5 linked regions of the Ovis aries genome follow. The main gene of each other region encodes a partner of the protein of the gene in region 4 in a complex. Links are inferred from orthologs where the notes say so. Each region holds a gene or a part of one and is shown on either strand. Other genes may lie near its edges. The genes, in order: SF3B4, SF3A3, SF3A2, DDX46 and SF3B3.

Region 1 (6,179 bases), on a different chromosome or scaffold from region 4:
CTGACTGATATGAGAGTTGTTTCCAATCTGTTATTGCAAATAGTGCTGCAATGAATAGCTTTGTGCATGTTACTTCCTATTTTTGCCATCTTATTTCTAGGAACTTTACTTCTATTCTAACTTAGTACTCACAACAACTATGCCGTAGATACTGGGTCTTCATCTTATGTATAACTTTGATGTAATGAATCAAGTGCTGCAGTACACAGCAGTCCAGCATTTGCAATAGCACATTATAGAGTAAGTCTTTAAAACTTGGAATAAACACCCTCACTCCTACCTTACCGTTCTTCTCCCAATATACGGACATCTCTTCTCAGAGAAAAAGAAGTTATTCTGTCAAGTTAAGCACCACAAACGATAAACAAGGAGTTTAGTTTAATTTTCTCTGGGTATTTGTAAAACACTTAGGGCCAACATAGGAAAAAATAAAATAAAATACAGCCTCCTGTGAAAAAATTACACTTACAAAAGAAAGGCCTGAGAGGGATTAGTGCCTTAGCCCCTCGGAGCTATAGCAACTCTGATTGGTCCAAGGAAGTGAATAGATATTGGGAGGCTACAACAGGAGGAAAAACAATGAGAAATCACTGAGGGAGAGGGCCTCGAAGTGGGCCTCGAGGGGGCACTGGAGGTCGGGGAGTAGGTCTGGGTGGAGGGAGGGGCCCCCGCTGGTAGCCGTAGGGTGGAGGTCGTGGAGGGCCAGTGTATCCATGAGGAGGCATCAGTGGAGGAGGTCCACGCATACCATGCGGAGGCATAGGACCTGGGTGACCTGCAGGTAAAAAAGGAAAACAAAGTAAAAACAAGGAATAGGAGACAGTTCATATTGGGACAATGTAAGGAGAGGATACACTGGGAGATAGTGAAAAGAAAGAGAAGAAAAGAAAGTGCAGGGGATAAGAGGTGTGACAAAACAAGCTGCAAGAACAATATGTGAGGATGAGGGAGGTGGCTAAAGACTACTCACCCATAGGAGAGCCAAACGGAGGCCCTCGGGGGGGCATGCCCATTGGAGGAGGTCCAGGATGAGGCATTCCAGGTGGTGGTCGGGGTGGTGGCTGCCCCCCAGAGCCAGGCGGCCCAGCGTGGGGGTGCCCTAAGCCATGAGGGCCATGGTGGGCCAGCTGCATCTGAGACATCCCTATGAGAACAAAACAAGACACAGTGAGAAATGAGACAAAAGGAAGTTAGAAGACAGGAGGGCAAAGAAGACAGAGAAGAAAATGAAGAAAGTGACATCAGATAGAATACAGAAATTAAAGCTGGTAAAAAGTGCCCTTATCTTTGACTCCATCCCAAGAGAATAAATCAACCAACTACCCTACAGCTCCCCAGTCCCTGAAGCCCATTTGCTCCTTCCATGATTTAGGCATTGTAACAGTGCTGCAGAATGGCGTGATTATTCTACTGAATAGAATCTGGGAAGATAACAGAGACACTGTCACAGCAAAGATCTAATTCTAAAGGATGAACAGGAATTTTTCAGGTGGACAACAGAGTGGGAAAAGAACATTCCAGGCAGAAAAAAATCAGCAGGTGCAAAGCATGGATGTGATCAACAGCACAGTATGTTAAAGGAAACCCAGTAGAACAGCTTGTAGTCATGGGAGTAACAGGCAGGAGCCAGATTATGCAAAGCCTAGAATGCTATGATAGCGAGTTTGGGTTTCACTCTGTAAGTAAAAAGGAACAACCAGAAGAATTTTGAGCAAAGGTGTGTGAATATCTGTATTTAAGAAAAATTACTCTGAGATAGTCAATCAAAGTAGAGATAATTAGAGTCAAAGTGTCAGTTAGGGTATTACTAAAATAAATTAGGTGTGAAATAATGAGGATAGGAGAGCCTGGGCTTCCCAGGTGGCGCTAGTGGTAAAGAACCAATGCAGAGAGCCTGTTGTTCTCTTTGGTAAAACTTAAACAAGAAATGAAGACAGCATGATGGTTGTTAAAATAAACGGTAAAGTATCTTGCATTTTTTTCCTAAAAGAATGTCTGAAAGAAAGGAGAGCTTGGGCACTATCTATTATTGTTAAAGGACAAAGAACAGCAGCATTAAGTGCTGACAGAGCTCCTCCATCAAGCTCATCCCTCTCCTTCCCAGCAAAGAACGCTCACCTGGATGGGGCATCCCACCAGGTGGGAATGGGTGAGGATGTGAGTGTCCGTGTCCAGGATGTCCAGCCCCTGGGGTTCCCGCTGATGGGGGACCATGTCCTCCAGCCCCAGGAGGCATAGGTGGTGGTGGCATGGCTGGGGGTATCCCAGGAGGAAGGGCTCCAGGAGGTGGTACTGGAGGTGGGAAGGAGCCAGGAGGAGGCATGCCTATAGAGAAAATGGAAAAACAGTTAATGATAGTGAGCAGAGAGTGCCTTTAGAGAGCCTGTTCCACCCTGGCCTCTCCAGGCCGAATGAGCTCTTTTCCCCTCCTCCCAGCTCTCTGAAGTCAGCGGCAACATTAAGTGACTTGAACAACAACCTTCTGGAGAAAACTCAACAACTTTCTTCCCACCACAATCATCATCCCTCAACCCCTTTCTCATCACCTAATGACTCAATGTCCTCTCCTTGCCAGGTTATTTTTCCTTCTTCCTGGCCCCACCCTTCCCAACCCAACACAAACATTTTTTATCAAAAGCTTTACCTGGTGGAGGAAGCCCAGATCCCAATGATGATACCACAGGATTGGGAGCAGATGGTGGAGGGGGTGCATCTGCAAATAGCTGATGAGGGCGGTCAGCCTGGGAGAGTGGGTTCTGTGCTGCCAGAAGTCTTTCAGCGGCTGAGCCATGGCGCTCACCCTTGGAGTCCTTCTTGAATGCGTAGGACACAGTGATTGGGCGGTTACAGAGGTACTGCCCATTCATGGCCTCAATCGCTGCATCCGAAGCATCAAATGAAGCAAAATTAATAAAGGCATAACCTTTGGAGTTGCCTGTGTCAGGGTCCCGCATAATCTTGGGGGTTTGTAAGATGACCCCAAAGGCGCTAAAAGTATCATAAAGCAACTTCTCATCAATCTCCGGGTCCAGGTTCCCAATAAAAATGTTGGCCCCCACATCCAGGTTTTTGTTGTGAGCTGATGCCTTGTTCACCCGTATTGGCTTCCCATAGAGTTTGATCATGTTCATGATCTTAATGGCATAGTCAGCATCTTCCTCACTCAAGAATTCCACAAAGCCATAGCCTGGGGAAGTGGAAAAGAAGAGGTTAGCAACTGAAGTGATTTAAAAACGAGTTTATAACTCATTTGTCTTCTAAAGCACAAAGGATAAGAAATAATAATCCCAACTTCAATTGAGAATGGTTCCAGAAACAAAATCTTTAGTTTGCTCACTCCAAAACTTAATATCACTGGAGACCTCCAGGAGCAGTCTGTCCCTTTCATAGATAACTGTACTTTTTGCCGTGTACTCACCTTGGTGCTGACCAGTGACTCTATCCTTTGGCATGTGCGTGTTCACTACTGGTCCTGCCTGGAGAAATAGTTCCCACAGCAGTGGTTCGCTAACCTTCTCATCGAGGCCCCCCACGTACACAGTGGCATCTGGAAGACAGGATTAAGAGGTAAGGACAGAGATGAGGGGAAATAGGGAGGTAACGGGAACATGAAGATGGAACCCAGGCGGAGGAAGTGGACGTGGAGATGGGGTAGAAAAGCGAAAAAACAAAAAGATGTTAGATTAAGCTTTTAGAAGCTCCTCCTTTCCAGAAAATAGACAATCTTATGTCTAATTTAGAGTGACGGTGCAAGTTCACTCTGTAACTTTTCTTTTTCTTTTTTTTTTTTTTGAGTGGGAAGGCAGCAGAGGACTGGACACAGCATCACAACTATAGGCCTCAAGTCTGTCCATCCCGTCCCCATAAGGCATCGGGACCAGTCTGGCGCCCTTCGGAAAGGCAAAATCTCCCGCCCCAGCGGAAACATTGCTGGGCCTAGTCGAGGTCCCTCAAACCCCCAGAGTCCATTCTGGGTCTGTCCCCTCCAGTCACCCTGGTTTCGCTCGGAGATCGGCCCGGCAGCCATGGCGAAAGCGCTCCCGCCGTCTCCAGGCAGCGATCCCGCCCCCTGACCTCAGTCACTACTTCCGCTTCCGAGGCGAAGGCTGACGTGAGGTGGTGGGCGGGGCCGCGGCAGGGGAGGAGCCGGAAGCGGCCTCGGCCATCTTAGGAGACGCTGAGACTGGAAGCGGCTGAAGTAGCGGTGCGCTTCGGTCCACGCTCCCGTGCAGAAGTGCTACTATGAGCGGACGCGGCGGGGAAAGTGAAAAGGAAACGTTCTGTCTCTTTTAAGGCAGTGCTAGAAGTTAAAGGGTCACACTGCTCCCGAAACTGTCACTTCAGAAGCTGGGAGAACAAAACTTTAGTTTTCATGTGTTTTGTAGCCTTTTTTTCCCCCTTAGAAGGGTGTACAGAGGAACCGCTCAACGCAAGGCGTGGGGAGAACCGTCCATCCCAACCCGCAGTCCTTGAACAGACGCGGCCTCACAGCCCAGGCCTGAGCTTGAGGTATTTCCTTTTTCCTCAGGGAAGGAATTGTGGAATGTCTGAGCTCGCCTAGTCACTGCATAGGAGGGGAACCTGAGGTTCGGAGGTGGGGTGGTACCGAAGTTTACGGGGGTTTGATACTGAAGCCCAGAGGCCGAGGCCGAGGCCGAGGCCGAGGCCTTCAGAGCACACCCTGAACTCCAGCAACCTCTGGGCGTGCCTTTGCCCTGTCTACACGGAAGAGAGGACCTTAAATTGTGAATCCTGCAGCGCCTCACGCAGCCCAGCCCCTTACTTCCTTAGCAGTAATATGGTCGGTACCGTCCCTTCGTGGGTCACATTCCTTTCCCTCCTCTCCCACCACTCCCTTACCTAAGGTTCCTTTAATCAGACACAAACAATGCCAGCGGCGTGTATAAATATTGTGCTTTAATGAACTCCTTAAATAGAAATGTCACAATGAAAATATATAATTGGAAGAGATAGGGTGTCCTGTGTATATTCCATACCCATAGAAAACTATAAGGGAAGAAATAGAAATTGGAATTAAGCAGCAAGAGGAGGTGAGAAGGAGGTCTGTAGGCCATCTTGTTGGCACTGATAAACAGTATATCTGATTATCACAATTTACCAGCGCAATATCCAAAATTTCCATCCCAAAGACATGGAATTGCCCTGAAAAAGAGAGGCAGTCTTCTGGATTGTTGTTGTTTCTTAATTCTTCAAATGATAAGAACTGTTTAAACCAAACAAGGCAGGATAAGAGTTGGATAAGGTTAGCACCACTCATCCTCAATAGAAACTCAGGTCAGTGATCTTGTTTATGAAAGCTGAGGCAGCAAGACCAGATAAGAAAAACCGAAGGATTAGACAAAACTCTCCCTCACCCCAGACCACCCTCTGCCCTGCCCATGAGAAAGCCAGCAATTTCAACGGGATTGGGAGAGAATGGTATTTGGGTTTCTTTTCTTGGAGTGATCCTCGGGAGATATTCGTGGTGTCCATTTCCTTAATAACTCTTGAAGATGGGATAGCTCCTCCTGGAGACCAGAGATTGTGGGAGCTGAGAGGCCCATCTGGGAAGAGGGTGAAGAGAGGCAGAGAGGATCCTTAATTCTCTTAGTTCCCTTTCCTCCTCCAGCTATCCCCTAGGTTCCACTTGATATAAGCCAGAAGCAGTTTTCCCACACTCCCAAATCTATCCGCTTTGATACCAATAGGAATGGTATCTAACTTCCCAGTCCCCCAAACCCTTGCCCTTCTGCTCCTGGAAACATCTGGTTTCTCCTAGAACATCTGGTTCAAAAGTCAGACCCCTTCTCCCACTCCCAATTTTTGCCTTCCCTTCTCACCTGGACCTCAGGCCTTCCCCTCAGGTAGCAGCGTCTCCAGAGCCTGATCTGGGGTCCCAGACATCCAGGCAGCAGCAGTCCCGGGGGTAAAGGGCAAGCTCCCCAGTGTGAGGGGAGCCCCCACTCCTGATCAGCCAGGCTTTCAGAAGAGATAGCAGGTCGAGGGAGCCAACGAGAGGAGACTGCCAGCAGGGAGGGACTGTCCCGCCAAGGACAGAGTTGATTCAGGGGTGTCAGGGCCCCTCTAGAGAAGAGCCACACGGAACTGGGGGGCCCAGGAACCATGAAGCTTGGCTAAGGAGGAACAGGAAATCAACTGGCAACTTAGAAACCTGATGA
Region 2 (5,671 bases), on a different chromosome or scaffold from region 4:
TGCCCTATAAGATATACTTATAACTCCAGTGATACTAGTCTTTTGAAGGAATAAAAATGAGCTTACAATTGGCTTTCTTCTAATATGTCACCTTGATTCTGACCTTTCCTATCTTCTTTCATCCTCAAGATACAATTCCAAATACTACAGTCTTAACTCACAAATAAGAAAGATTTCAGGTAAAAAGAAAATGAGAAAAATAGAGGAAGGCAGATTACTAACTAGGGGCACAACACCACCAACAAAGCATGACATCTATACATCAGACCCAGGCACCTCTGAGAAAGTTTAATTTTGTCCCCACTCTGCTCAGCTCCAGAGACAGAGGCACCAGGGTGGGAGACTTCCTTTCACAATGAGACAAAATTAAGAACAGTATGGGCCTAAGATCACAGATGTGCCCACAGACACATATTCTTCCAGAGCCAAAGTATTATGATTTTACTTAACTAATTAATCATTTATTTGTTTGGCTGCACTGGGTCTTCACTGCTGCGAGGGCTTTCTCTAGCTGCACAAGCGGGGGCCACTGCTGGCTGCAGTGCACAGGCTTCTCACTGTGGTGGCTTCTCTTGCTGCAAAGCACAAGCTCTAAGCACATACGCTTCAGCAGCTGCAGCACACAGACCCAACAGCTGCGGTGTGCGGGCTCAGGGTGCCCAGACTCACTAGCTGAGGCACTTGGGCTCTAGAGGGGGGCTCGATACTTGTGGTACAGGGGCTGCTCCACGGCATGTGGAATCTTCCAGGACCAAAGATCAAACCCGCGTCCCCTGCACTGGCAAGCAGATTCTTATCCACTCTACAGCCAAGGAAGTCCCAAAGTATTATGATTTTTAAAATGTATCTTTAAAACCCCTACCTTCCCATAAACCTGGAAGTCATTCATGTATGCCTTTCATGAAACAAAATTCAAAACTGCCCTCAAATCTCATTAAAATAATCTTCTAGTCACATTCAGGAGAGGCCTGGAAGCTAATAATGCCTACCTCTTGTACTCGGCATTCTTCCTTTCTTTAGGAATGTCAAACAACTGGTCAAAGATGGACAGGTAAGTGATATAATCCAGCTTCTGAAAAGAGAAAAGAAATGACAAAGAGATTCAGTTAGGTGTTTGCACCAAGTTACAACATAATCTCCAATAAATGAGATCAAAATTGGTCCTAACTACATAATCTCCAATAAATGAGATCAAAATTGAGCCTAACAAAGTTAACAACACTCACTTTAGCCTTTTTTTTCCTCCTACCATTTAATTCCTGCATTAACTGGGTGTTAATTCCACTAGACGGAGTAGAATATGAGACACATAATTAACCTGGAAAAATACAGATCAAGTCAATAAACCATAGGCTAAAAGAAATATCTGTTCATCATTACTATATACCGGGCACTTATTTAAAGACTGACATCCACTACCTGTTAAAATAACGTCCCGGAACGTGCCGTTTTTTCCCTCAATCACTTATTAAGTATCTTTGGACCAAGTGTATGGATATACATGAGAACAAGACAGATCCAACAGGATTGGACTCATGGAGCTTATATAGCTGAGACAACTTTTGGGACATGTCCTTACAACTCCAAGAGGAATTCCATCACATACTTCCTTGCGACTTTCCTGACACTGTCACATTAAATCTCATCTCTTATACTACTACTACTAAGTCGCTTCAGTCGTGTCCGACTCTGTGCGACCACATAGACGGCAGCCCACCAGGCTCCCCCGTCCCTGGGATTCTCCAGGCAAGAACACTGGAGTGGGTTGCCATTTCCTTCTTCATCTCTTATGGTAAGTTATTTTAGGTATCTTTTTAAAGATATTAAATAGTCATTCCTGGAAGAGATTATGTTTTTGTATCTTTATGTACCTACTACTATGTGTACCTAACACAGATGCTGGACGTGTATTTGGGAGTTTTAAAAATTTATTGTTACAAAAGCAAAATAGGCTTGTAATAATAAAACAAAATTTACTAGTAAGTAAAAGACTTATTCATTCACTGCAGAAACCCGATTTTCACTTTGAAAATGGTTTCCTTCTAAGAAAGCACATCACCATTTTAATAGTTACCTAACAGTTCCAGAACACAAGGAAGACACGGCTCAGTGTCCTGACTCACTGTGAGAATCAGAGCCACCTTCTCTATCCTGGGTCTTACCTCAGAGGCCTTCAGGTTAATGTATTTGAGGTAACAGTCATGAAGATCCAGGTAACGACCATATCCCTCTTCATCTGTGAACTCCACCAAATCTGAAGCAATCAGAGGTATCAGTGATTCAGGTACTAAAGACCACTTTATTGGACTTGGCCTTTCAAGTGGACTGCACTGTTTCATAATGCAGCCCTTTACCCAAATACCCTTTCTCTGCTCACAGAGTGAAACAGGACTCAGCCAATGCATTTAAGTTGGACGAGCACAAAATGAACATTGTGCCCAAAGCCAGTTTAGGATGACAATTTAGTCCAGGCTTTTCTCTAGTCTAACAAAGAGAACATCAGTAGGAGAACCCAGCTATAAATTTCTGTGGGGCCATTTTCCAGAGCTCTGAGGGCAAATCTGAGCTCTGTAATTTACCTGTACTTCTGTTGGTGCTGGAGAGAAGCACTAAACCCTACTTACTTTGTGCTTCTTCACTTGGATTCTCTCGCGCTTTTAGGAGTTCCTCAAATTCCACTGACATCGGAACACAGATCTGATGGGAAAAAAAGAGAAAAGCTCAGGTGGATTTTTCAACATAAAGGTTGCAATATCACAGAATGGGCTATATAGAAAGTTGGATTTCTAATGCTTCACTTAGCTTGGATTTTTCATTAGAAGTTTACTTCTGTTTTCCAATTACCTTGCTTTTTCCTTTGCTTTCTGCCATTGTTTAACTAACATTTGCTAAAATAACATTCAAAAAAGTTCAAATAACATAAAAAGACAGAATGAAAAAAAAAAAATCAAGCTGCCCCCTTTAATAATTTTCCTGCAAGGGAGTTCTCTGGTGCTCCAGTGTTTAAGATTCTGCACTTACAATGCAGGGGGCATGAGTTCGATCCCTGATCGGGGAACTAAGATCCCATATGTCTTGAAGAGCACTCCCATCCCCTGGGAAGCAACCTGCCTCCACCAAAAAAGATTGTACTGCAAATAGATAACCACTGTCTACAGACTACTTAAAAAATTTTTAATGTCAGCCATTCTCAAACTTTGCTGCACATTAGAATCACCTGCCGTTGCTGCTAAGTCACTTCAGTAGTGTCCGACTCTGTGCGACCCCATAGATGGCAGCGCACCAGGCTCCCCCGTCCCTGGGATTCTCCAGGCTCAAGGATACTGGAGTGGGTTGCTTTTTCCTTCTCCAATGAGTGAAAGTGAAGTCACTCAGTCGTGTCCAACTCATAGCGACCCCATGGACTGCAGCGTACCAGGCTCCTCCGTCCATGGGATTTTCTAGGCCAAGAGTACTAGAGTGGCTTGCTATTGCCTTCTCCTGAAAGAGCGCGCTAAAAGCCCTGACATACTTGATACCAATTAAATGAGAAGTGGGGGGAGGTATCAGCACTTTTTAAAGACCCTCAGATTCAAATGCACGGCAAGATTTGGAAACCATTGCTCTGTGCATTTATATATGTATTTGTGCAACCATAATACAGGCAAATGACAAGATTATTACTTTGCTTCTCACATAATTGGATTTATTTTTTCCCCCTTAGTATATCCTGGAATAAATTTAACCATTTATTCTGCATCACTTTTCCACCAGAGCTGGGATAAGGTTACACACCAAAATGGTACTCACGTCTTCTCTCTTGGTTAGCAAAAGACTGAATACCTTCCAAGGGGAGTGAGGAGACATTTACGTGCCTCCACTAAGTAGCCTCTCCTGCCTAGTATTTTCAGTCTCTTATTTTTCTACCCATTCCTTTACATATGGACACCTTCCTATCTTCCTCCTGCGTCTCCTCTCCTTTTTCCTGCCAGTCTTTCAAATGCATGTTAAAACACTACACACTACTGTTTCCCCATTATTCACGAGTACTCCCTGTGACCAGATTTCCCAGATTTCCACGCCCACCACTTCCACTGAGCAGCAATCCTGGCAGTTACCAATCAGTAACAGCAGACACCAGTCACTTCCTTTCTGAAGCTCATTTGCTGAGCTCCCATAAGACATGGCCTGGAGCTGCCAACTGACCTGTGCTGGAGGCTCCCCAGGCCCCCTTCCCGTGAGGTGCCTTACTGTGAGTGCCCCAAGGCACACAGAAGCTGAGTCTCCCTTCACACTCTCTCTCCCTCCCAGAACACTATGATTCACAGCTTCAGCCATCAAGTCCACGTGATAATTCTCAAGCCCCAGTCACTAACTTCAACTGCTCATATGACACTTCCACCTAGGTCCATCATCACCTGAAAATCTACATACATAAAAATCCACTTCCAGTGTAAACGAGTTCTTTCTTCCTTATTTCCATCAAGGGAAAAAACAACTTTTCAGTTACAGAGTCATAAATGCTCAGTGCAACTACTGACCCCTCTCTCCACTTCTACAGACATGCCTCACTCCCCCTTTGCCCTGGAATTCCTTTGGTCAGTTGTGCAAGATGTTTAGTAAGTTCTCAACAACTGAGATGTAATCCCTGCTCCTTATAATTTTACAGTACAGTGGGGCAGACATTTATTGTCAGAGAACATGACAAGATCATAAAGAAAAGAAAGATTAACTGGCATTAACTAGGAGTGAGATAGACTAGGAAGCAATTTTCATGAAAGAGTTGATCTCTGGGCTGAATCATGAAGGGGTAATGATCAATGGACGTGAGTAAAGCCTCTTTGTGTTAGTCGGTTCCTCCAGGCAGCAGATTTCAAGATAGGAACACAAGTGGTTTCTTGACCAGTGGGGTGGTGGGGGCAGGAGGAGAGGGATTACCCATGAAAGATAAAAAGGAAAGGACTTCCCTGGTGGTCCAGTGGTTAAGACTCCATGCTTCCAATGCAGGGGACACGGTTCTGATCCTTGTTTGGGGAACTAAGAACTCATGAACTATGAGGTGTGGCCACCAAAAAAAAAAAAGAAAGGAGAGAGCGAGCAGGATGGAGGGATGGAGCAGAGAGAGCCTAGACCATGATGTAGATATGAGAAAATCTCACTGAAAGTCTCACAGTGGGCAGAAATAACCAGGCTGTGATACCCCTCCCCCACACTGTGTTCAGTCGCTGGTTAGGGGCTGCCCAGGAATATGTGTGCTCTGTCGCTTCAGTCGTGCCCAACTCTCTTTACGACCCTATGGACTGCAGCCCGCCGAGCTCCTCTGTCCATGGGATTTCCCAAGCAAGAATACTGGAGTGGGTTGACATGTCCTCCTCCAGGGGATCTTCCAGACCCAAGGACTGGACCTGCAACTGCTGCAGTGCAGGCAGTCTTTACCACTGAACCACCAGGGAATTAGCAGGCAGCTTCTTTACCATGAGAGCCACCTGGGAAGCCCTAGAAGAGAATGGCTTTAGCTTAAAGCTGAGGGAAATTCTGAAAGAACTCGCAGTTGCAGGATGTCACCTAACTACGCTGCTTATTGCTAACTGGTAAGTTCCTTTTTGAAAGGACATCTGAATGACCATCTCCATTTTCCTAACACATGTCCTTTGTATACTCTTTGGACAGGACTGGAGAAAAAACTTTGCAA
Region 3 (5,276 bases), about 25 Mb from region 4:
AGGACAGCGATCCCTTGGAACAGGAACCTCTTGCTACCCAGTGTGGAGGGAGAGGCACTCCTCTGCTGGACCATCAGGCTGCACTGACCTGCCTCCCTCCTCCATCCCCCACTGTGTAGCTCCCAGGTAGGTGAACAAGGTGTTAGCCCCCACATCCCCCTCTGCCAGGCACTGCATGGGGAGAGGGGTGGCTGGGAGCTGGAGAACTTCTGGCCCCAAACAAGCAAAGATACAGTGACCCACCTCTCTGGCCATTAGCCTCCACTTCCTGAGACTGGGGAGGGGTCTGGGCTGGGGGCTCTGCAGTCCTCTGCTCTTGGGAGGAGGGCACTAGAGCCTGGCCTCCCACCCCAGCCCCGACACAACACATACCTTCCTCCAGGTGCAGGACCACCAGCCACCGACCCCCGGGCTCCCCCAGCCATGCCTGCAGCCGCTGCAGGTGGGGCAGCACAGGCTGCCCGTCACCAGCGGGGCACACAGCGAAGGTGGTCAAGTCACTCAGGCCCCAGTGGGTGCGCCGCACAGCCTCCAGGAAGGCCTGCTCATAGCCGCTCAGGGACCCCACCACCCGCAGGGGGGCCCTGCTCCCGTTGCCACTCCCATGCAGGGTCACCAGGCACAGGGGGTCCTGAGGGCTGCCTGGCAGCCAGAGACTGGGGAGTGGCCAGTCCCAGCCTTGCTGAAAGATGAGTGTCCCGCTGCCTGTGGCCTGCTCCCTGGGCGAGGCTGAGGTATTGGAGACCTCTTCCCTGGGGGTCCCTGGCCTCAGCAGAGCCCCCATGGCCGACAGCACCAGGGCCAGAGAGAGAGATGGACCGGGCATCCTGGGAGCTTCCAGGGGCTGCGCTGCCCTACTTTATAAGGGGAGCAGGGCTGTTTGTGGTACAGGGCAGTCCCTATCTCCTCCTGGGACATGACCTTGGAGACTGGTGCCTGCTGCGAGCCTGGGAGGCCTGTGGCCTTCTCAAAGCCCCCTCTGTTCCAACCTGCCTGTCTATCTCCTGAGCAGTGATACAGTGTGTGTGGCCTGTGACCCATTTGTCAGACTGTCCTTGACAAATCTTTCCCCTCCCCAGAGCAGGAATGTGAGCAGGAGTGCATGCCCCAGACAGTCAGACTATCAACAACCTGGGGGTGTTGGAGGGCAAGGTGTGGAGCCCCTGCCCCAGGAGGATTCAGGTGCCAGCCCCAAGGGGGATGACGCTTCACATCGGGTAGGCAGGTCTGTCCCCCAGTGACCCCACGTGCTCGCTCACCCTACCTCTGAGGCCCACAGAGACCCCCAAGGAGAGTGAGCAGCCTTCTTCGCTCTGCTGTCTTCCCAGAGAACCACCCCACATTCTGCTGGCCCACAGGGTCTGTCCTTGCAGAGACAGCAGGGGCCACCCCCTGTGGTCCAGGTGGGACCCTGACACCCCCTATGGTGGTGGAAAGCAGTCACGTGTGTTCACCCACAGCAAGCTGACCGCCCACAGGTTAACACAGCAGTCCAGTTCAGGGTCAGCAGACTCTTTAATGAGCTCTGAGGACACCCAGCCCAGTACAAAAGAACTCTACTCTGAGGGCGAAACCCAGGAAAACCAAACCAGACTTGCTAGGATGGGGGTGGCTTTTCAGTTGGTGGGGGGAGGGGGAGGAATGTTCCCAGGGCCTTCGGAGGGCAGTGGAGGCCTCAGCATCGGGGGCATGGGCGTTGGGGGGTGCACCCCAGGATTTGAGGGGTGCACCCCAGGTGGCTGAGGATGGACCCCAGGAGCCGGAGGATGGACCCCAGGAGGAGGGGGGTGGACCCCAGGAGGCTGGGGGTGGATCCCAGGGGCTGGTGGGTGGACCCCAGGAGCTGGTGGGTGGACCCCTGGAGCCTGGGGGTGAACGGCAGGAGTCGGGTGCACCCCCGGAGCCTGGGGGTGAACTGCAGGAGCTGGTGGGTGCACCACTGGTGCCTGGGGGTGAACACCAGCAGATGGGGGAGGATGGACCCCTGGGGCTGGAGGGTGGACTCCCGGAGCAGGAGGGTGGACTCCTGGGGCTGGAGGGTGGACCCCTGGAGCAGGGGGGTGGACCCCAGATGCTGGTGGGTGAACCACTGGTGCCGGGGGGTGGACCCCAGGAGCTGGGGGATGGACCCCAGGAGCAGGGGGATGCACCCCAGAGGCTGGTGGGTGGACCACCGGTGCTGGTGGGTGGACCCCAGGAGCCGGTGGGGGCAGCTGAGGAGGGCCTGGGGGCCCTGAGGGTGCAGGCCCACTGGGCGGCATCGGTGGCAGGGGCAGGCCTCCTGGTGGGGGCGGAGGCAGCGACTCTGGTAGTGGCGGGCGAGGGGGCAGGCCGTTCATCAGTGGGGGTGGGGGCCGTTTCACCCCAGGAGGCCCAGCAGGAAGGCTCGGTGGGGCTGGTGGCTTCTCCATCTTGAAGTGGAACTGGAGGAAAAACTGGACAGACAGGAAAAACTGAGTAGGGTCCCAGAGGCCTTGGGGTGGGAGAAGGATGGGGAACTGCATGGACATGGACTGACTCACTTGCTTGGTTTCCCGGTTCCAGTGAGTCCAGAACTTGCCTTCAGCCTTGTCTATTTCCCTGCTTGGCACCTGTGCGGGGTAGAGGGGCAGACAGGCCCTCAGGACCATGAAATGGCCTGGCCCAGGAGGCCCTTCTATGAGGGAACAGGGTCTGACGTGGGGGTGACAGCTGGCATTCTTGCTCCACTGCTTAGCAGCCCTGCCACCCAGGGAAGCTGCAACCTACCCTGTCTCGTTAACATGTATCTGAGAATTGGACCAGGTCAGAGTCCTGCACAGCCTGGTAACAGGGCCACCTCACTGCTAGGGCCATGCCAGGGTCTGATTCACGGTGGACACCCAGCCCCTGCCCTCACTCTGCATCGTCTTCTGACAACCCTCAGGAGGCAAGGGCCCAGAGGGGGCGCCTGGTGTGGGCTGGGGCCAGCTGCTTGGATGGAGCAGACCCTGCAGGACCCTCCGGGGTCCCAGCAAACTACCTTGAAGGCGATGGTCTCATAGGGCTCAGCGGCCATGAGTAGGTACTGCCAGCGCCGGTCCGGGGGCTCGATCCTCTGCTCGTAGGCAGACATGAAGCGGTGTCGGGGCATGATGCCCTCGGCAATCTCAGGGTAGTCGATCTGCAGGGACACGGCCAGTGACAGCACTGCCTCTCAGGGGCCCCTCCCCTCAGGACAAAGGGTTCCCGGCCTTTGCTCACCTGGAAAAGGAGGCTCTGCTGGCCCATCTCTGTATCTCTCTGCTTGGTTACTGCAACACAGGAGGATGTCAGGTCCAGTAACGGGGTCCTAGGACTGGCCTAATGTCACCCACGAATGGGAGAGCTGGCTTGGCAAGTGGGGGGAGGTCACCCTGCTGGGCAACTAGCAGTCATTGGCCCAAGGGTGGGAGGGCTGTGCCCCAGGTGCCACCTGCCTGATATCACTTGGGTGGGGGCAGAGGGTGGGCTCCCCACTGCCCACCCTCCTCCACCAGACCTTCTGGGAGCGGGTGCCCATCACAGTCTAGCTCTGTGGCTTTGGGCTGCTCTCCACACAGCTCCGGGGCCCTTCATATGCGCCCTCAGGCACTTAGTGTCTCCCTGACACAGCCAGGAAGAGGCCAGATGACCCAGACTGACCAAAAGGCCTGTGGTGGCCTCCCTGGGGGTAGTGCCATCCTCGCCCTGGCTCACCAAGCTGGACCACTCCAGGGCCTTCCCAAGCCATGTCTTGTCTGAAACGCCAGTCATACACAGGGTGTGCCCACTTCAGCAAGAACACCTGCAAGGAGGCCTGCCTTCCCCTCCTCCCTGGCAACCCGATCCTCTGCAGCTGCTGGCCCAGGTAAGCCTCCTCTTTCCTTTACTCTCTCTCCATGTGAAAAGGCACCAGCACCCAGTTCTAAGGTCAGAGGAAAGGACTACACCAGGGCCTGCAGTCCCCTCCCACCCTCGCACCCACCTCTGCTAGGAGTATAAAGAGCAGAGGAGACACTAAGGCCCCCGCCCTCAGGGCAGGAAGCCTCTAATGGAAGCTGAGGCCACTGGTGAAGCTGGAGGTGGGTGAGGGACTGCCCACCCAGGGCATCGACAATTACCTTTGTAGCCTGGGCGGCCGATCTTCACAAACTTCTTCACTTCTACCTTGACCTTCTCCGGTGCTGGCTGGGCGGGGGCCTCCTTGGCCTCCTTGGCTGCTCGCCGGGCCCTGCAGGTGGGACGGACACAGTGTTGAGGCCCCTCCTCACAGGCCATCAAGGCCACAGCCCCAGGCGCCAGGAGCGCCCATCCCCGGCCGACCTTGGAGATGTGAGGTGAGGGGGACAGCAGGCATGGGAAGGGGTGCCAGGTACTTACAAGTTGGTCTGATGTTTCTTCCCCTGGGTGTGCGCGAGGTAACTCCCCTGGAACATGAGAGGAACATGCAATTGAGGGCACAGTGAGGGAGTGGTGCCCGGTGTCCCACCCGGGCCCGCCTCCATCCACAGGGCTCAGTGCTGACGGGCACCCGGTGGCTACTGAACACATGAGCTCTCGTGGATCTGCACACAGGGGGACGAGATGCTCAAAAGCCAGAGATGAGAGTCTCGGGTCGGGGGGACACAGCAGTCTTGTGGCTGCCAGGATGTGGGTGGGGCCAGTGGATATTGCTGGGCAGTGGTGGGGACACCTGGAATAAACATGCCCTTTGATTCCACCTCAATAATGTCCCAAGAAGAAAACATGTGTATCAGCAGTTTCCAACTGGAGGCTTTTCTGACCTCCAGGGACTCTATGTCCAGGATGGTCCCCCAAAGAGAAGGGGGAGCCTCAAAACCGCTGGGAGATGCTCCCATACGAGACTATTCAGCTCAGTGCAGCTGTCTGGAGCTGCGAACCATCTGGACAGAAAGTGCGCCCTCCTTACACAGGAAAGGACAGAGAGGACCTGCTTATGGCGAAGGACAGGAACCCAATGCAAGCAAGCATCCGACTGACACTTGCTTAAAGACTCAAACTAGAAGCCATGCCTTCCAGACCTCTCGCCCCACGTGGACATCCTGGACATCCCCACATGTACAGATGCACATCTGTGATGTCGGAGCCACTGATGTTACAGGAAACTGACAGATGGAGGTAGGGACCCCACGGTGGCTGTCCCAGTGCCGTGCAGGGCGGAGATGGCACAGCGGGGCTCTAAAGCCAGTACCTCCCTGGGAAAAACGCACCTCATTGTTATGTAGCGTCAGGCACAGCTTGCACTCATAGGAGCCCAGATGGTTCTTCATGAAGTA
Region 4 (5,671 bases):
TACCTGAATCACGTTGCTGTACACTTGAAACTAATACTATATTGCAAATCAACTATACTTCAATTTAAAAAAAAGTAGGTATACAAGAAGTTAAAGAGGTTAAAATGTTCTACCAGTTTGGATATCTGGCTACAATACTGTTGAGAAAAGCAAGAATTTCTCCCAAGAGTACACTGCGTAACTGAAAAGCACACCTCCATCAATGCTTCCTTATAAATACTCATAGGATGGTACCACGTGCTGTGTGCTCAGTCGTGTCCGACTCTCTGTGATCCCACAGACCATGGCCCACTAGGCTCCCTTGTTCATGGAATCCTCCAGGCAAGAATACTGGAGCGGGCTGCTGTTTCATTCTATGGTATCGTGAACAAAGTTAAAATTAAAGTTACCTCCATGGCATCCTGGTCATTCTCCATTAGCTCACCTTTCTTCTTATCAGAATCTACGACTGCTTTTTTGGTTGTGACAACTGTGACAACTTTTGTGACCGTTGGCCCAGACTTCTAAAAAAAGAATGTGAAATATTTTGCTAAAGTTGAAACACAAAGTATAAACCAAATGAAACAATGATAACTGTAACAATTTATAATCTGAATTAACTTAGTAGTCAGTGACTACTAATGCAAAAACAAACAGTAGCCCACTTTCTCCTTACTTAAATTTAAAAATGTAATACAACAGCATTATATTTCCTAACACATTAACACACAGGTAATTAGGTATGTAGTATGTAATTTTATATAATATTATGTAATCTATTTTTAAAATACTATTAAATAGTACTTTTCACTCATTCCACAAACCAAATACTATCCCAGGATCTGAAGATGAATCAATAAACAAAACAGGTAAAGATCACTGCTCTTGGGAAGATTTTAGAAGAAAGAAGGAACAAGCAAACACAACATTGAATTACACCATTTGTCAATAAATTCTATTAAGAAAAAGAAAACCTAGACTAAAGAGGATCAGGAGTATAAAATATGGGAGTGTTGGAAAAGGACCTACTGAGAAAGGAACAAGCAAGCAAAAACACTAAACAAAGATGATAATAGTAATGATGACTCTAAAAGGACATTTGCAGTTACAATTTGCTAGTATCTCTGCTCTTTAGAAAAAGCACAGACACTTCTGAGATGCAGAAGGAAACAAAATCATTAACTTTATAAAGCCATGCAAGCCAATAGTAGGTCAATGCAACAATGAATTCAAGTTATTCAACTAGGAATATAAATCTTTAAAAATAAAATAGGAAAAAAATCCCATACCTTTTCATTTCCCCCACCACCTTTCACACTTCTCATATTAAACTTTTTTACTTCCTCTTTCACTTCTTCCATGTAAGCATCTAATGGATCTAACTCCTCACCCTCCATTTCATTTCCTTCCTTTTCAGCCTCTGCAGGATCATCTTCATCATCTAAAATATCAGAACATACTTTGAATATGTGTTTCAAAAGGGATTATTTCACAATCCGACCATGCCCCTATTAAGAAGCCTTTTCTCTTAACTACCCAAATACCTTCCTTATCAATTAACCCAGGCACAATACAGTTCAAATACTCATACTGGCAAGGTTTTAAATCAAACAAGCATTAGTTTTGAATAATACTAATAATAAAAGAAATAAATGATAAACTATTAAACTGAAAAGAGGAAGAAACACTAATACGTCTGAAAAATGGATCTCTGGTATTATTTTACAACCACACTAACAGAAGCAAAACTAAAAACTTTGCTAAAAGGATATGCTTATTTCGCTTCTTTCAATCACTTTTCTTTAATCACAGGAAGAAAAAATTAATAGTATATTGCAGCCCACCAGGCTCCTCCATCCACGGGATTTTCCAGGCAAGAGTACTGGAGTGGGTTGCCGTTGCCTTCTCCGAAAGACAGTCTCATGTTTTTTACATAACTATCACCAGGGAAGCCTGGTGTGTTGCAGTCCATGGGCTCACAGAGTCAGACACAACTTAGTGACTGAACAACAACATCACCACCATTTAAAGACATAATCCATTAATCTATTTAGAACAAAACACCCTGGTGAACTTCCACAGAAAATGAAAAATTCACAGGGATTTTCACAAAAAAAATGGAGCAAAATTCCCTTTTCCTATAAAACCTCATTATTCCACTTAACTAACATCTTACGCATCAAAATCAGTTGTGAAGTTGCATTTAGTTGCACTGAGCAGCTTCAGCTGCATTCAACAAATTCTGATAAATTCTCTTTCATTTTTATTCTGCTACAAATATTTTCTAATTTTCCTTATTATGATTTCTTAGATACAACCATCATTTAAAAGTGGACATTTTCTGTCCAAACACATGGAGTTTTTAAAGTATCCTTGATATTAATTTCTCATTTTGATACTAATTTCTCATTTACTTGCTTTCTTCGTTGCAATCACTCTGTTTCTTCAGTCTCTTAACTTTACTGAGACTTTCAATGATTATGTCAAAATTCTCTCTTGGTAAATGTCACACTGCACTTGAAATATGTGTGTTATTTTCAAATATCTTTTAATATTGATTTCTAATACAATTTCACCATGATAAGAGAACAGACTGTATGATTTTAATACCCATAGACTATTTTTGCACTTTGCTTTATGTCCCTGGATATGTTCCAGTGTCCCCTGGTTCACAGTCTATGGAAACTTGAATAGAATTTGTATCCTGCCTTGGTGTGAAAACTGTATAAATCTTAATTATGTTGAATTGGTTCATAGTGCTTTTGAGGTCTACTATATCCTTCTACTTTCCTGTCTATTCATTCCATTAACTTTTGAGAGTTTGATATTGAAACTCCAACTAAAAACCTTAATTTATCTACTTAAAAAATAATTGTAATATATAGTGGAAATATATGTAACTTTTTTCTGTATTTTCCAAATCTCCTGTAAATGTACTATCATAGTTTCATAATTTAAAAAAGAAAAAAATAATCAAGATGTGCAGGGGAAATGTTGCTCTTCTAAGTTAGGAAAAAAATCAGAGGGACTTGGAAACATGCCCTTAACTTACCCTCACTACTAACATCTGAAGTAAAAAAATTAAAGAGCTATTTACTGACTGCCCATAAGCATCCAACTCTCCACTCTAAAGTAAAATCAGTGATCCTTACTGCACGCTACTCTACAATTAAAACTTTAAATATGAAAAGGGGCATTGAAAAACCTCAAAATAAATCTAGTGACTCTATTTCTAGCTATAAACCCAAAAGAACTGAAAGTTGGGATTCAATCAGATATGCACAAACCAACACTCACAGAAGCATTATTCGAAATAGTCAAAAGATGGAAACAACTTATATATGCAACAACAGCTGAATAGGTAAACAAAATGTGGTATATACATACAACGTAATACTATCAGACTTAAAAGGGAAGGAAATTATGATATAGACTACAACATGGATGAACCTTGAAAACACTTTGCTAAATAAAATAAACCTAGTCACAAGACAAATACTACACGATTCCATTTATTAAGGTACCTAGAATAAGCAAATTCACAGAATCAGAAAGTAGATTAGATGTTATTAGAAATGAAGAGGTACGGGAAGGCAGGATAGAGAATTACTGTTGAATAAGGCAGAGGTTTTGTTTGGAATGATGAATACTGTTGAATAAGGCAGTTTTGTTTGGAATTTTGTTTGGAAAGTTCTAGAAATGGGCAGTTGTGATGGCTGCACAACACTGTGAATTTGCTTAACATCACTGAAATGTACACTTAAAAATGGTTAAAATAGTAAATATTATGTGTATTTTTTCATGATAAAAAATAGTCTATCACTTATAACCCTAGAATATTATACATGAATTGCTGTTTAGGCTACTAGCAAACAAATGAACATACCATCATCATCTTCTAAGCTCCACTTTTTCCCTTGTTTCATCTCTTCGATTTCCTTTTTCAGTTCCCCTATGTTTTCCATGGCCTTTTTACGTTGCTCTTCTCGCCATTTTTCTACTCTTTCTTTTCGCTTTCTCATTTCTTCTTCTAGCTTATTCTGGTCAAAGTTCTTGGGGTGAAAATGAAAAATAGAAGAAAATAAGGATCAACAGTTTTACTCCTACTGACACTCCAAATAACTTTTTCAAAGTATAAAAAAAGAAAAGGAAAAACAGGTATCTACACAAAACTCCTAAATTCTGACCAGATTTAGATTACACATCTTTTTAATATATTAAGGAATAAACTAACAAAATGAAATCACAATCAAAAGTATCTTCAACTAATAAACCAGAAAAGTGAAGTCGCTCAGTCGTGTCCAACTCTGCAACCCCATGGACTGTAGCCTACCAGGCTCCCCCATCCACGGGATTTTCCAGGCAAGAATACTAGAGGGGGTTGCCATTTCCTCCTCCAGGTGATCATCCCAACCCAGGGATCAAACCCAGGTCTCCCGCATTGTAGGCAAACGCTTTACCACCCAAGCCACCAGGGAAGCCAAACACAAACTTCAAATACTATAACTTACTCTCCTTTTAGTTACTACCAATATGCACACATGAACTCAACCTCTCCCTCAAAGTGGAAACTAAAAGAACTGGCAAGCAAAGTTCCCTAATTATTACTCTCAACTGTAAATCCTTTAAACTTCTCCAAGACTGCCTCCATGAGAAGGATTTTTTATCACAATTTTCTATTTCAAACAAGTGAGTAAATGAAAGTTATTTATCAAAATCTTTAAGAAGTTCTGATCTTTTAGCCTTTAGGTCTAAGTTTTCTAGGAACAGCCATTCTAAAGCTTGTATCATGATTATCAACTATACTCTTCAAAGGAAAGACAAATCATTTTCACAGGCATAATCAAGGACTTAAAGATTAAGCATCATAAATATCAAAATTTTATACATGCTGCTGCTGCTGCTAAGTCGCTTCAGTTGTGTCCAACTCTCTGTAACCCCCATAGATGGCAGCCCTGGGATTTTCCAGGCAAGAACACTGGAGTGGGTTGCCATTTCCTTCTCCAATGCATGAAAGTGAAAAGTGAAAGTGAAGTCGCTCAGTCGTGTCCGACTCCTAGTGACCCCATGGACTGTAGCCTACCAGGCTCCTCCATCCATGCTACAATTATATAAATAGGTATAGAAACACACATGTAAAAAAACAGTCAAAGAAAATACTAATAAACTGCAATATTGATGGCGTTTGGGTATCTAGAATTACAGAGAATTACTTCTGACTTTCCAAGTATTTTATAATATGGTTATATTTATATTTTAAAAATAAATTTATTTCTTAAACAAACAAAACCTGTGTCCCTGAATTTACATCCTTCATAATTCCATACTCTCTGAAGATGAGCCCCAGAAAGCTTATGTTTTTTTCTCAAGGTCACCCAGTCATTCCACAGTAGAAACTAAATCAGAAACCAGACCTCCAGACTTCTTGTGTTAATTTCTTAGATAACCTGCTCAGCAAACAGTTCCCTTAAAAAAAGAACCACTAAAAACAAAAATTAGATCTCAAAAAAAAAGGAAATGAAGCTATAATATATTGTAAAATGGGCAAAAGCTATGAATAGGCAATTCAAAGAAAAGTGCAGATAGTAGATAAACTTAAAATGCCTTATTTAATTATTGGTTTACATTATGTTCATAGCACTTAAAAATATTTACTCATGTTAAAGACATACAACTCAAAATAACAAGAAAT
Region 5 (5,671 bases), on a different chromosome or scaffold from region 4:
CCAGCAACTTGAGTGTAAAGTCTCAATTTGCTGTCCTCTACAGCTTTCATTTGAAAGTCAAGTTGCTTATTACTTTTGTATTCCTTTTTTGTGGTACTAGTCTGAATTAGTTCCCTAATTCCTTATTGCAGTTCATTGTCCTGTAAAACTCAACCTTTATAGAGGGTCATGTCTTCAAGCAAACAAGACACAACCCTGATGAAATGCTGTCCTCATCCCTGTGTTACAGTCTTTGATGGCTTTTCATAGACAAATGGGAGAAGGCGATGGCACCCACTCCAGTACTCTTGCCTGGAAAATCCCATGGACGGAGGAGCCTGGTAGGCTGCAGTCCATGGGGTCGCAAAGAGTCGGACACGACTGAGCGACTTCACTTTCATGCATTGGAGAAGGAAATGGCAACCCACTCCAGTGTTCTTGCCTGGAGAATCCCAGGGACGGGGGAGCCTGGTGGGCTGCCGTCTATGGGGTTGCCCAGAGTCGGACACGACTAAAGCGACTTAGCAGCAGCAGCAGCACAGACAAATGAGTTCAATAAGTCTGAACTCTACTCTGGCCTTGAATTTAAAACCAGTATTGAAGACTCCAGATTGCTTATGAAATGAGATGCCATGGCCTTGCCTTCAGGTTTTGCGTTACGTGCAGAAGGCTTGTCTAATGCTATTTCTGTGTGAGGAAAATGGAAATACTGTCTAAAACTTTGTGATTCTATTCCAGTTTCGCCGTTTCTACAGTTGTTCTCCCTTTCTTTATGTCCTTAACTCATTCTCATGGAGCTTATTCCAACTGTCTTTATTACTCCTTTTCCCAGTTTATACCTGTTTTGTCTCACTTTTTACAACTTAGCCTATTGTTATAAGTATTTTCACCCATTTCTAATTTTTTAAGTTTTCTTAACAAGGAACTTCCATTGTAGAAAAGTTGGGAAAGTGCATATAAGCAAAAATGTCTCTTGTAATCCTTCTGCCCAAAGATAGCATTTTTGTGTGTGTGTACCTGTGTATATATATATATTTAAATCTTTGTATAAAAACGATAATGTATTGTGTTTTGTAAGTTATGTATTTTTATATAATAGTGAATAATTTTTTATTAATAAATAGGTCTTAAACATTCATATTTTTTAGCACCCATTATTTCTTTTTGTGGTAAAATATGTATAACAAAATTTGTCATTTTAACATGTTCAATTTGGTGGCATTAATTACATTTGCAGTGTTGTATAACCATTGCTACTATTTTTCCAAACTTTTTTTTATCACTCCAGACTGGACCCGTATGCCCATTAGGGAGTCTCTCCTCCTGGCCCTGGCCCTCAGCACTGGGGACCTGAGTGCACGCACGCGTCCACCCTTCTGTCTGGCTCACTTCATGTGGCATAGGTTTAGAGTTCTTGTGTCAGCTCTGTATTCTTCTTACCTATGAATAATAACCCACTATATGTATGTACCACATACTATTTACCTGTTAATGGACACCTGGATTCTTTCCACCTTTTGGCTGTTGAGAGTAATGCAGCATTGGACGCTGGTGTGCAAATATCTGTTTTAGTCTTTGTTTTAAATTCTTTTGGGTATGTACCCTGTTCTTAAAGACATAGAAAACCCTAGTCAGTAAGCAGAGATCTCAAACTGTAGATGCCGACTCAATATTAAAGTGATTTATGAGCATTATGTTGATGGCAGACATCTTCAGAAGTACTTTTTAAATGCTTATTGGGTTTTTCCCCTTCCAGTTTTACAGAGATAAAATTGAAATACAGCGCTGTGTAAGTTTAAGGTATGCAGCATAGTGATTTGACTTACACACATCATGAAATGGTTATCACAGTTAATCTCATTTGGTTCATGTATAACATATGGAAGTGTTAATTATATTTATAATGTACATCAGAGAAAACATTTTACCTGAAATCTTTGCCTCTCCCTAGTTACTTGTATCAAATCGCGCATCTTGGAGATGACGACGAGGAACCTGAGTTTTCATCTGCCATGCCTCTAGAAGAAGGAGACACGTTCTTCTTTCAGCCAAGACCACTGAAAAACCTTGTGTTGGTTGATGAGTTGGACAGCCTCTCTCCCATTTTGTTTTGCCAGGTGAGGATCTTTCAAGTCACTACATAATGAGCAGTGCTAACCAACTATTTTTTAATATGAATGAGTTTAAAGTTTTAATTCAAATTAACCTCATAGTCTAAAGAGGTTCAGCAGCATATCTGTGGACCCGCCGGGGTATAAGGGTAAAATAGCTGAAGGCAGTTGGGGGGTTAAAAAGCGTTACATAAATCCTTGGGCTTAAAGTGGTTAAGACTCTACATTTCTACTGCAGGGGGCACAAGTTCCATCTCTGTTCAGGGAACCAAGATCCCACGTGCTGTGTGACCAAAACAAAGAACTGATAAAAGCTTTTTTTGTTTGTAAAACTTGCTGCTTCAAACTGCTTGCTTTTCGGGACATTGGGTCTTTTTTTCACTCCATGTGCCCAGGGCCCGTAGTAATATTTAAGCCTAATAAACTAAAAAAGTGGTTTGTCCCCATGAGAATAATCAAGTTTGTGTGTGGGAAAGTAGCACAAGTAGGCATTTCTCCCCCTTTTCTTTGTGCAGATAGCTGATCTGGCCAATGAAGACACTCCCCAGCTCTATGTGGCCTGTGGTAGGGGACCGCGGTCATCTCTGAGAGTCTTAAGGCATGGACTTGAGGTAAGATTGAAATTTCTAGATCATATGCAGGGTTTGGAGGCAAGTGCTAGCAAAGCAGCCTAAGGCTTTATTCTGATGATATCAAAGATGTATTCAGTGTTTATGTGAAACAAAAATGTTTTTCTCTTCACCTGTTTCCATAAAGTTTACAGTTTAAATTTCCTAATCTTTAACATGTCAACACAATAGGCACTTTAAAAATTTGGCAAATGGATATCAAAGGGGAAAAATACCTGTTAATTCCAGGTTCACTTGCCACAATGTGTAGGTTGAGAAGTCTGACTTGCGTGGCACATTTTATTGCACCTCATTTTAGTCTTGATCTTTCTGCATAGTTTTTAGATACTTACATTTTAAACTATGTTAAATACAGTATATATATGTATTTATATCTTACTAAGTTTATTTCTTATTACTATGTGCTTTTAAGTCGTACAATTTTTAATGTTTTTGCAGTGTAGCTTCACAGTGGGTGGATCAGAATTTATTTAATGAATCCTTTATTGTTGGACATTTTAGGTGAAATGGACACTCAAAATTATCTTCTCAAATCCCATATCCTTTTCTCATCATGGTTCTTGTGTTGATGCATTTTAGCAAGCCCTGGGCTTGATTTTGTTAGGAATAAAATAAATCTTCCTATGGCAGTTACTTTTAGCAGTTGGGGTTGGCAAACTCCAGGCTCTTAGAGGCCCACTGCCTGTTTTTTGTAAATTTTTATTGGAACACAGGCAAGGTGACCTTTGTTTTGAATTTTGGCTCTACTTAATTGTTACTAAGCTGTTGTTTCCTCTTCTGTAAAATGGGCTTAATAGCATCTGCCTTAAGGATTGCTGTATGAATTAAATGAGAATGCAGATGAAGTACTTGGTCAAGTTCTGGCTTATAGTAACTGTTCAATAAACGTTAGCTATCAATATTGCTGTCTCAGGGGACTTAAAAAGTTTTGACTGCCTGAATATTCATCAAGTCACCAAAATTTCAGTGACTTGAACCTAATTTAGACCAATAGTTCTTGATAAGTTACTTGCTCCTCATTGGATCCCAGTGATCATCTGGTGAAAGTAAGCACTCAAACACAAAAAAATGTACACATGCGTTAACACTGTGTGCATGGTGTTGGGAGAGAAAGAGCCTGATGGAGAATCGTTGGTTTTGAGTCCTCTGCTGCCTCCTAATTTTTTCTAATTCTATTTTTTAAAATCTGTTATGCAAAAAATATTTTTTTAATTGCTGGACATTGCTTTCTTCCTGTGTATGTTTGTTGAATCTTGTTCAGCTAGATTATGGTCTCAGTTGAGCAGAGTCACTGTCAGATAGTGTAGCGTACATGACATTGAGATTTTATTGATTGTGAAGTTTCCCAAGATTCTCCTGTACCATGATCAGGTACTCTTGCTACCATTACCTGGATAAACCAACAAAAGGATAAAATAAAATGCCTTTCATATGTATTCTTGAGTCCTTCCTGTAAAATGTAGCTCACTGTTCAATTGCACAATATGATAGGCTGTCTTGCTTTTTATCTCTAGGTCATTTTAAAATATTTAATAAAATTTTTATCTTAGGTGGTCTTAGATTTACAGAAAAATTGCAAGGATATTATAGACAGTTAATGTTTAGTCCACACCTTGTTTTCTCCTCTGGATCATTTTGAGTTTATCTTACATATTTTATTTATTCTCATTTGAAAGTCTATATGACATTCAGAGGAGTCTTGACTGTGACATTAAGGGGCATAAAAATCAAGTAGGAAGGACAAAACAGTTCCTCAGATTACTTTCAGATAAGTGTCCTAAGCGGTGATGATTGTGATTCCTGAGAACTTACAGGAGGGAGAGATGACTGCCAGCTCAGAAAATAGGGAAGATTTTTTTCCTAAAGGATGTGGTATTTGAATTGTTTGGTGAAGAGATGTGGAATTTCGCCTTAAGGGAGCAAAGGAAAGGAAAGGATGCTAATTGAGATGGACTGTTTCATTCCCACATGCTTGCTTTTTGTGGAGGATGCAGGCATGTTATCCTCAAAAGGAAGCATTTGGCCTTGGCTGCAGCAGCTATCCTAGATGTCCCATCACTGCTTGCTGAAGGCAGTGTTGGGAATCGACAGTACCTCTAGCCGTTTGGTTCTTAATCTTCTGTTTGACTAGCTGGTTCCAGTGTTTTAATCCAGTGTACACTGTGAGCACTGCTATATTATGGGGACTGTATTATCTAGTGTGATTGTAAACAAGGAGCTGCGTTTCACGCTCAGTGGGTCTGTGGTTTCTCTCCCTTCCTATCAGGTATCAGAAATGGCTGTCTCAGAGCTACCCGGCAACCCCAATGCTGTCTGGACAGTGCGTCGGCACATTGAAGGTAAGCGGCCCTTTCCCAGAGGTCTGAGTGAGGGTCCAGGTGCCACTGACAGTAGACGCTTAAGAGGCTGCATTCATAATACTTCTATGTCATTTCATATACTAGAAACTTTTTTTTGACTCAACACCATGTTTTTGGGGCTCCCAATCACAATGCTTTCACGTACTACATTTTGTACACATGGGTAAGAGGCACACAGGGTGGCTGTTCGTCCTCAGTGCATACACACTTCAGTATCATAGATAGAGCTGGCATATGTCGGTTCTTTGACTATATTTATCATTAAGGTAGTCTTTCCATATGTGTTAGAGGTATGTAGAAGGAAAAGTTTTTGCTTCTTCTACAATGTTTTCTCCTGTTGTATTGAAATCACAGTGAAATTGAAGGTATTCTGGATATTAAGAGGCTTGTTACTGTTCTGTTCAGTAGGTGTAGTAGTTGTGTTTAAGGGAAGTGGAGGTTGATTGAAGCAGAATTTTAGGGTGAATGGAAAAGGAGGGATGGAAGAAAGAGGAAGTCTGAGCTCCTGAATAAAAATGGTCACCTCATCCTAAAACTTTGAAAGTTATGTGAAAATGCATATTAATGCAATAGCAGAAAAGTCCTGTGACAA

What was found.
Region 1: DDX46 (region 4) and SF3B4 share a complex: the UniProt entries of both Homo sapiens proteins name them as parts of the 17S U2 SnRNP complex. The link is inferred for Ovis aries from reciprocal best matches to the Homo sapiens genes DDX46 and SF3B4.
Region 2: DDX46 (region 4) and SF3A3 share a complex: the UniProt entries of both Homo sapiens proteins name them as parts of the 17S U2 SnRNP complex. The link is inferred for Ovis aries from reciprocal best matches to the Homo sapiens genes DDX46 and SF3A3.
Region 3: DDX46 (region 4) and SF3A2 share a complex: the UniProt entries of both Homo sapiens proteins name them as parts of the 17S U2 SnRNP complex. The link is inferred for Ovis aries from reciprocal best matches to the Homo sapiens genes DDX46 and SF3A2.
Region 5: DDX46 (region 4) and SF3B3 share a complex: the UniProt entries of both Homo sapiens proteins name them as parts of the 17S U2 SnRNP complex. The link is inferred for Ovis aries from reciprocal best matches to the Homo sapiens genes DDX46 and SF3B3.

What each region holds. Positions count from the first base shown.
Region 1 is NC_056054.1:100,032,025-100,038,203, forward strand, and holds SF3B4 (splicing factor 3B subunit 4), read right to left. Parts: upstream 4,065-6,179; 5' UTR 4,028-4,064; coding exon 3,994-4,027; intron 3,548-3,993; coding exon 3,419-3,547; intron 3,188-3,418; coding exon 2,645-3,187; intron 2,326-2,644; coding exon 2,119-2,325; intron 1,145-2,118; coding exon 971-1,144; intron 776-970; coding exon 588-775; 3' UTR 362-587; downstream 1-361. UniProt on the Homo sapiens protein: Component of the 17S U2 SnRNP complex of the spliceosome, a large ribonucleoprotein complex that removes introns from transcribed pre-mRNAs.
Region 2 is NC_056054.1:12,728,479-12,734,149, forward strand, and holds part of SF3A3 (splicing factor 3A subunit 3), read right to left. Parts: intron 2,698-5,671; coding exon 2,625-2,697; intron 2,255-2,624; coding exon 2,163-2,254; intron 1,073-2,162; coding exon 990-1,072; intron 1-989. UniProt on the Homo sapiens protein: Component of the 17S U2 SnRNP complex of the spliceosome, a large ribonucleoprotein complex that removes introns from transcribed pre-mRNAs.
Region 3 is NC_056058.1:19,188,391-19,193,666, reverse strand, and holds the end of SF3A2 (splicing factor 3A subunit 2), read right to left. Parts: coding exon 5,211-5,276; intron 4,407-5,210; coding exon 4,360-4,406; intron 4,211-4,359; coding exon 4,101-4,210; intron 3,273-4,100; coding exon 3,223-3,272; intron 3,143-3,222; coding exon 3,002-3,142; intron 2,592-3,001; coding exon 2,523-2,591; intron 2,436-2,522; coding exon 1,617-2,435; 3' UTR 1,497-1,616; downstream 1-1,496. Other genes in the region: AMH (muellerian-inhibiting factor precursor), read right to left, coding at 373-826. UniProt on the Homo sapiens protein: Component of the 17S U2 SnRNP complex of the spliceosome, a large ribonucleoprotein complex that removes introns from transcribed pre-mRNAs.
Region 4 is NC_056058.1:43,897,899-43,903,569, reverse strand, and holds part of DDX46 (probable ATP-dependent RNA helicase DDX46), read right to left. Parts: intron 4,032-5,671; coding exon 3,866-4,031; intron 1,421-3,865; coding exon 1,269-1,420; intron 504-1,268; coding exon 390-503; intron 1-389. UniProt on the Homo sapiens protein: Component of the 17S U2 SnRNP complex of the spliceosome, a large ribonucleoprotein complex that removes introns from transcribed pre-mRNAs.
Region 5 is NC_056067.1:1,097,968-1,103,638, reverse strand, and holds part of SF3B3 (splicing factor 3B subunit 3), read left to right. Parts: intron 1-1,930; coding exon 1,931-2,096; intron 2,097-2,605; coding exon 2,606-2,701; intron 2,702-4,985; coding exon 4,986-5,058; intron 5,059-5,671. UniProt on the Homo sapiens protein: Component of the 17S U2 SnRNP complex of the spliceosome, a large ribonucleoprotein complex that removes introns from transcribed pre-mRNAs.